Linked DNA regions of Caenorhabditis elegans. The protein of the gene in region 1 purifies or fractionates together with the protein of each later gene. This does not show direct contact. Each region holds a gene or a part of one and is shown on either strand. Other genes may lie near its edges.

Evidence for each region. Proteins that work in one complex are often made in the same cells at the same time.
Region 2: the proteins of clec-265 (region 1) and gly-5 fractionate together in Caenorhabditis elegans (co-fractionation; one large-scale study listed by BioGRID). This does not show direct contact.

Annotation. Positions count from the first base shown.
Region 1 is NC_003284.9:3,029,816-3,033,640, reverse strand, and holds clec-265 (C-type lectin domain-containing protein), read right to left. Parts: upstream 1,859-3,825; 5' UTR 1,846-1,858; coding exon 1,745-1,845; intron 1,697-1,744; coding exon 1,560-1,696; intron 1,516-1,559; coding exon 1,417-1,515; intron 1,362-1,416; coding exon 1,173-1,361; intron 1,119-1,172; coding exon 957-1,118; intron 904-956; coding exon 725-903; intron 676-724; coding exon 574-675; 3' UTR 524-573; downstream 1-523. Other genes in the region: M02F4.2 (Nucleotid_trans domain-containing protein), read left to right, coding at 92-171, 214-316.
Region 2 is NC_003281.10:13,185,747-13,190,446, reverse strand, and holds the start of gly-5 (Polypeptide N-acetylgalactosaminyltransferase 5), read right to left. Parts: upstream 3,056-4,700; 5' UTR 2,997-3,055; intron 2,338-2,996; 5' UTR 2,312-2,337; coding exon 2,204-2,311; intron 2,149-2,203; coding exon 1,885-2,148; intron 320-1,884; coding exon 201-319; intron 1-200. UniProt on the Caenorhabditis elegans protein: Catalyzes the initial reaction in O-linked oligosaccharide biosynthesis, the transfer of an N-acetyl-D-galactosamine residue to a serine or threonine residue on the protein receptor.

The DNA.
Region 1 (3,825 bases):
TAGGCCGTCGCGGGCGCTGTTGCAGCGACCTTATGGGAAGCCCTATTTTCAACACGCCGTGAGGACCAAATGGAAATCTGCATGTTTCTAGGCTATAACAATATTCAATGGTTCGCTTCCCGTATTCTCATTTGATTTCATTAAAGGATTGAACAATTGCGTTCGGCAAATGTAAGTTTGACTAAAAGTAAATTGAAAAGTAGTTTTTTTCAGGGAAACACAAATTATTTGTACAAGCACTGGTGGAATGTGTAGAGATCATATGGATAAAATGACCGAATGGATTTATGATAAAACTGAGAACGTTTTTGTATAATTCTATGACTTTTATTTCCGTTCTTGGTTCCGAACACATAAAAAACGACACGTTTTTATAACAATAAGTTTACACTTTGTGAAACATTTAACATGAAAAAATCCGGTTATCCAAACGGATAATTTATGTTGAAACCGTATTTTAGGGAAATTTTATGAAATGTTATACAAGATGAAGCACATTCAAGTATACAACATATTAGAAAACAGCAATACAAAATCTTCATCAGAATAAAGAAACAAATCAATAGAACACTTTTAATAGACATATCGTTTACATGCTGCATATCGACATGTTTGATAGGCACAGTTGCCCATTCTCATGTAGGTTGCATACCCCATCGGATTGTTCAAGATAATCTGAAAACAACAAACATTGAAAAAAATGCCGTTTCAAAAAAATTAGTACCTGTCCCTGGCTAGTATAGTCGGCCGGCTCAGCTGGAGCGAATCCCTGAGCATAGTCAAAAACAGTAGAGTCATCCCATTGGAAGTATCCACGGTCCGAGTTATAAGTTAGCCCAATAATAATGTTGTCTCTAGCTGTCGCGGTAGAAACCCAATATGAATTCGCTTGGACTCCAAGACCTGAAAATTCGAATATAAGTACATATATAATTGATTTTAGCGCAAAATCTTACGGTTAATGAAAGCAGCTTCTCCTGCATTATGAACAGAAGCCAGTGTTCCTCCCATGCTTCTACAAGTGTTCATAGCATTATAATAGGTAGTGTTGGAAATAATCTTGAAACAAGCACATGTTGGTGGATAGTACTCCCATCCGGATTGGCATGGAACAAAGTCTGAAATGAAGAGCCAATTAATAAATTTGGAAATCCTCCAGAAAAATAACTTACTCAAATACTTTTGAACACAGCTCGGAAATCCACTTGGTTTTACAGTTGTGGTGAGCACTGGTTTCGGGGTTGGTGGCACAAGGTCAAATTCGCACAGTACACTGTGAGAATCTGGGCATGGCTGAGCATACCAGTATCCGTTCATTCCAATTGTGATGCAATAACCAACGTTTACACTGAATGGTTCTCCTGAAACAAAATGACTGGTGAACAAAATGTTCAATTGAAAGCTTTTTGAACTTACCAACTGCAAAGTTTGTGTAGATTGGTGGTTTTCCGTCATCTCCAACAATATATGTTCCATCAGCTACATATTCGAGCCAAGTGTGCCAATTAGCATGTACTACAATAATTCAAATGTATGTAGATAAAACGTTTTAAACTTACATTGAACTTGTTCAGTGACAAAGTTATTCTCAGCATACGTGAGGGGTGTGGTGAGTCTGGCATATGGTCCGTATGTCTTCCGGCAGTAGGCAAGGGCATTATCCCGAGTCATATCCATGCCAAGAGCTGCGTAGCATCTAAACAAATGTATTAACAGTGCAATTCGAATAAGAACGGATTCTCACTTTGCGTTATAGATTTTTGTTCCAGTTGGGCAAGTTAAAGCATTTGTGCAGTAAAACACAGAAGCAATAAGAGAAATTACAAAAATTAAGTTTTGCGACATTTTCGAATCGAGCGATATCAATGCCTCCGATGACGATTTTTATACAACTGTTATCAGTGCACCATAATTGCATGATGATTTCAATTTCCGAATCGTCATTAGGGAGTTTGGTCTTTCTTGAAATACTTTATCGCGGTTTATGAAAATGTCACTGATTAATTAAAAATGATAACCTTTTGGAAATAATTTGGAAGCAGCATTTGTAGTCGTATTATCAAGAAGTTATATTTAAACGGAAATTATTTTGCGGTGGTGGTCAAAAGCATATTAGTGTTTGATTGTTTGCTGATATTTCATTGTTTTCAAATAAGTATACAAACATATAAATCGTTGCATAATTGTGCCCGCATCGACCAAAAAACTTAATTTTTATTCGATTGTCATCTTTAATTGCATATTTTGGCATTTTACTACGTGTTATTTTGTTAATTGAGATGCGTTTTTGGTACCATAATTGTGCCCGCATCAACCAAAAAACATTTCGATCAACAAAATAACACGTAATAAAATGCCAAAACATGCAAAGGATGACAATCAAATAAAAATTAAGTTCCAACCGCTGCGACACTGAAAAGTTATCAAAAATTTGAGATTTTAGCTAAAAAGGGCCATTTTTTTCCAAAACTTTGAGCGCCCATAATTTTTTTTTTTGAAAAATTTTCAGAACGTCTGGTTACGAAATTCGGTAGGTTTGCGTCATTTTGTGTCTAAAACGCAAAGTCTCAAATTTCGGTACTCCACCTCGGAATTATTTGCTTCCATCGGTCGAAACTTCTTTGGTTTTCCGATTGTGCTCATGTTCACGAGACATCAGTGGGAGCCAACACAGAGTCCTTTTTGTCCTTTTTCGCTTGTCTCCGGAAAATTGCGTTGCCATATCCATAGATTTACTCTTTCTTCCGTCGTTCCTCCAAAATCAGCTACGATTCTCGCCGCAAATCCCGTTGTTCTCCTTTAACGCTAGAATTCAAATCTATTGCTGCAACAAAGACGAATGACACAAAAATTCATTATCCAGGAACATTACCGCGAAATGGAAAACAACATTTCGAAATTCGGTACTGATTTAGATATTTACCTTGGATCCGACGGCTTATACCGAATCAGAAAAAGAGTTCACTCGTCAATGCTTCCAAGAGAATCATCACATGAGCCAATCGTCATCCATCACAAGTATGCTCTGGTAGAAATCATCATGAGAGAAACTCACGAGATCAACAGCCATCTATTTTGAAAGGTAATATATTTTTCCATTTACTAGAGACATTGCACAGTTGTAAAACATATCAAAGAGCGAGATGAGAAAATTAGTGGATGTAAAACATATTGGACTTGTTGCTTTGGAAATTAGGGAAAGAACACAAGGATAGACAATTGAAAAACAAATATTTAGATCAATGATGTTGATAACATTGATATTTCACGAAAGCATCGACCATTTTCAAACAAACTGCCTTCACACTTCATGACGTCAGAGCAAATCGAATGAGCTGTGTTCTGTAAGAATAAAATTTGAGAAAGTTGTAAAAAAATAATTTAAAATACTTCTCCGTGGAAAATTTTTCCAATCGCTTCTGTGACTAGGATCGTATTTTGAATGTTTTTGAAGCAGTGATCGCCATTCTTAGCGCAAAGGACATGAGGGAGAACCTTGTTGAATTCCTGGATAAACTTCGACAACTCCTGAAAATTCGTAATGTCAAATAAGGTAAAGTTTTCGAGCAAACGTTATCTTAAGAAAAAATGCTCACCTTTTCACTTAATTTGAACACGCGACTACACGAGGAACAGCTCCAGACTGAGGTTGGCAACCTTCTTCCATTCGTAGTCTTGAAATACTTCCATAAAAAAACATAAATACACAGTTATTTTTGTTTGATGTTTATTTGGCTCTAGCATCTTTTTTTAGTTTGGCCCAGAAATATTAACTTGGATTAGAAACTAGCTGAACTTAGGAAAAAGTTAGGCAAGACTTTGGCA
Region 2 (4,700 bases), on another chromosome or scaffold:
TTTTTTAATCGACTTCTCGTTTTTTACAGATAATTGCAAGAAAATCGATTTTTCGATTTTTTTAAAAAGAAAATTTTTTGAAAAAATTCGATTTTTCTTCTTTTTTTCCGGAAAATCACAAAAAAACTTCAGTTTTTTAGGGAAATTTAAAAAAATTAATTTTTCGATTTTTATGAATTTTGGAATAAAAAAAAACCCACTCAGCATCAATATTAGTTGGCAAAGTTCGATGTACTGATATCATATCAGATGCGTATTGATTAAAAGCGTTGTTGAGCATTCCCTTGTCGTATTTTGCCTTTTCTTCGGTCGATAGTTTCTGAAAATTAGAAAGAAAATAAAGTTTTTTTTTTTCGTTGATTTTAAAGGCAAAACATCAAAATTTCGAAAAAAAAAGAACTAATTTCCACTAGAATCTTAGATTTTGGGGGCCGAAATCGGCCTAAAATGACCTAGAGTGGCTAAAAAATGATCGCGAATTGGATAAAAATGACTAAAAATTACCCAAAATCACCTAAAAATTACCTAATGTGACCAAAAAAAAAAATGAAAATTCGGCCAAAAATTACTAAAATTTCTAAATTTTGCTAAAAATACCTAAACGGACCAAAAATAATCAGCAGTCGGTTGAAAATGACTACAAATTACCGAAATTGGCCAGGAATGTCGAAAATATTTCATATTTAAAATAACTTGATATTTAAAATATTTTAGACATCATTTTTAATCATTTTTGGCCAATTTTCGAAAATTTCCGAGCACTGAAGTGATTAAAAATGTCTGAAAAATGACCAAATTTGGCCCAAAATAGGCGAAAAATGACCAAAAATGACATAAATATTTAAAATATTAAATATTTTAGAAATTTTTATTCATTTTTGTCCAATTTCAGTCATTTTTGGTGATTTTGGACCAAATTTGGTAATTTTTTAGTCTTTTTTTTAATGACTAAGCATAATCGAAAATCGGCCAAAAATGATTAAAAATGACCGAAAATATGTACCGTATTTCTTCTATTAATATGGCTGCAATAATATTTTTCGATGGTCTTCCGCTTGCAATACTAATAGGGAGTGCAAGACTATTAGGGAGTGCAATACTAATTTTCAGAACATTTTCTGACTTTGAGCTTACTAGTTTTTTTCCTGAAAAAACTCGAATCTTATGTGAAAATTCAGAAAATTTGATTGTAATTGCAACAAAAAGGTACAATAACTTCAATTTCATAGAAATTTTACCAAAATTGTTGCAAAGTAGGCAAAAAATGTTGTTAAAATCTCAAAATTAGTAGGGTGGGTTTGTACCAAAAAAAAAAAGTAGATGCAAGACTATTAGGGAGTGCAACACTAACTGCAATACTAATTTTCGGAGGGTTTTCAAGGAGCAATACTAATAGGGAGTGCAAGTCTAATAGGGAGGCCATATTAATAGAAGAAATACGGTATATTATATACATTTTAATCATTTTCGGCAAATTTCGGTCATTTTTAGTCATTATTGGCCAATTTTCGGCAATTTCCGAGCGCTGAAGTGACTAAAAATTTCTGAAAAATGACCAAATTTGACCAAAAATGATTAAAAATCGGCCAAAAATGACAGAAATTGACCAAAAATGACCAAAAATAACCAAATTTGGCCTAAAATTAACTAAAATTACTTAAAATGATGGAAAATCAGCCAAAAATCAGTAAAAAATGACCGAAATTGCCCTAAAATGATTAAAAATCTATACGGAATATTTTCATTTTTAAAATCATTTTTGGTAATTTTTGGCCAATTTAAGTCATTTTTGGCTCATTTTTTTCGCAATTTTGAGAATTTGAGCACATTTTGAGTCCACAAGTTCAAAGAACCGTTATTCCTCAAGAATAATCAAATTCTCACAGTTTTATCGACGACAACTGCCTTTCCAAGCTCTCCGGCTTGCGCTGCGTCTCCTTTTTTATAAATCGGATCGTTCGGATCGACCATAAATTTTGGTTTGGCCAAGTTCCCGCCGGGTTGCTCTTCTTCTTCCACTTTATTATTCTCTACGACAGGTTCCGGCTCAATCGGCGGCCCAAATCCTTGAATTACGTCTTGTTTCGCGGCTTTCGGGTGGAAATTCGCCTCCGCAATTTTATTCGCGAGATCGTTATTTGATCCGATCTGAAAATGGGATTTTAATCACATTTTTATTTTTTTTATTTTTGATTTTTGATACCTGGCTACTATCATTGCTGGTTGCTGCGAAAAAAATCAACGAGCAAATCCAAAAAACTGGAACCAAGAGGAGAACTTTTAATATCGCCTTTTTCTTGAATATAATCATTTCTCAGCGGCAAAATCGACCCGTATCTGCAAAAAAATTAATTTTTGATTAATTTAATTGGGAAATTTCTCAAAATATTTCGATTCAGCTCAGTAAAAACCAGTAAAAACTAAATTTTTCGACAAAAACTCCAAATAAGGACACATCGTCCACGTGTAGTACACGGGTGGTGACCTAGAAACCGACAACTACGTACTACACGTGGACAAAATCGGTGGAACATGTTTTTGGCAGGAATATGATGGAAAAACTATAATTTTCAGGAAAACTAATAAATAGCAACAAAAAAATCAATAGAAATTCGAAGAAAAATCAATATTTTCTAGTTTGACCTCAAAATGATCAAGTTTTCAATGTTAAAACAGATTTTTTTAGTTAGTTTTTTTCTTTTTTTTTCTTTAATATTGTTTAATATGACACTTTTCAGATTTTTGCGTCAGAAATACAGATCCAGGTCTCGACACGACAAATCCTTGTACTCATTGAAGGTGTGCGCCTTAAAATTAATTTTTCAGCTTTTTGAAATTTACTTTAGATATTTGATAATTTAATAGATTTTCATCGAAAAACTAAAAAATCAATAAAAATTCCGCAAATGAACAAGTTTGAAATTACAGTACTCTTTAAAGGCGCACACCTTTTTTCAAACATTTGTCGTGCCGAGACCCAGGGTACCGTAACCTACCGAAAATCCTCCGTTTTATGCTTCAATATCCCTCAATTTTGATAATATAAGTTTGCTGCCTGAAAAAAAACGAATTAAATTGTGAAAAGTAGTAGTAGTATTGGAAATTCGAGTAAAACAAGGAAATTTATAATGCAAACTTTTTCGGACCCAAGGCATACTGAATTCAAATTCACATTAAAAATTTTAGGTTGACGTGGACAATGACGATGAGCAGCAGCATGCAAGGCATGTTAACGATAATATTTGAACAGTTGGGAAGGGAAGGGAAGAGGGTGTATAAGAAGAGAGCATAGAACAGAACCACTATCTTTTTTAGCTTCTCTAATACCTCTTACTCTCTCTCTCTCACACTATATTTACTTTTTTCGGTGGTTTCGGTCAAGTTCAAATGTGCTCGAGAACTGTAATGTTTCAAGTTCGCAATGAGTCACGATTTCGATTTTCCGTGTATCCTAGAAATTTTGTGAGAGAAATAGTTTTAAATGACTCCCTGATTCCGAATATCTAAGTGAAAAAATTCTAAAAAATTTCCCTGATATTATATTTCAGCTTAAAATCGCGATGTGTCGATTTACGAGATTTTCAATATCTTCATTTTCGTCGCTTTTTTCCAAAGTTTCGTTTTTTAAGGTCAATTAAATATTATTTTGCCAAAAAACTAACAAAATTTCCATTTCTTAGGTCAAAACTCGACGAATTCCACGGAATTCTGGCTGTTTGCCGAACTAGGCCATTTTGGGTCGGAGAGATTTTGTGTAGATTTACGGCGCGTTGCGTGTCGCGTCGCGGCTCGTTTTAGTTGTAAAACTGAAGTTTGCTGTCCGTGAGGAGTACACGACACTTTTCCACGCGCTGTCCGGCAGGCGATTATCAATGGAGCGCGAAAATTCAATGAGAAATGCCCAGAACCCCGTGGACGAAAAATCCAAATATATGCTTTTCCCGCCTAAAAATCACAAATTTTGTTAGTTTTTTTAATGATATAACAAAAAAAGTGACCTTAAAAAAAGCACAGTTTTTTTTTTCACTTAAATATCGGAATCAGGGAGTCATTTTAAAATTGTTCTAAAAAGATTTCGATACTCCACATTATAAAATTTTTTACGTCAAAAACATCATTTCCCCCTTATCATCCATCTTACCATTCACACCCATTTTGCTCAAACAGACGCCCACGCCCTTTGCATACTTCTCAAATGGAAACTTCTATTGATAGTGAACCCAGAAGACAAAAGAGAAACGTGGTCATAACTGGGGGGAGTTGTTTGCTGGTTAGAAGAGCCCCGGACGTGCTCAATTGAGCATGACGAATAGGTTGGAGAAGAGAATGTCAGAGACACCTACTTGTAGTGAGAGGGGAACGAAAATGTCTATAGGCTAGGCTAAACTACAAATCATCTTATTTTTTCGATTAATGAAGAAAAAAAATATTTCGAAAAGGGCTTATGTTTGCAATTTTACTACAAAAATTCTGGAATTTCTAGGAAAAATGAGAACGCGAAAAAAAATTATTTGAAAAATTCATTTGGCGCGGTGAGACCCTTTCCAAAATTACTTTGTGCGAGCGCCTTTAAATTGATCTTAGAAAAATTGTTATTGTTTTCTTATAGTTACTAAGTAAGTAAGTAAGTTCTACTCGGTCACAAATTAGCTATAAAAATCTGTAAATTATAAGAAAATTTGAAAAAAAAACATTATACA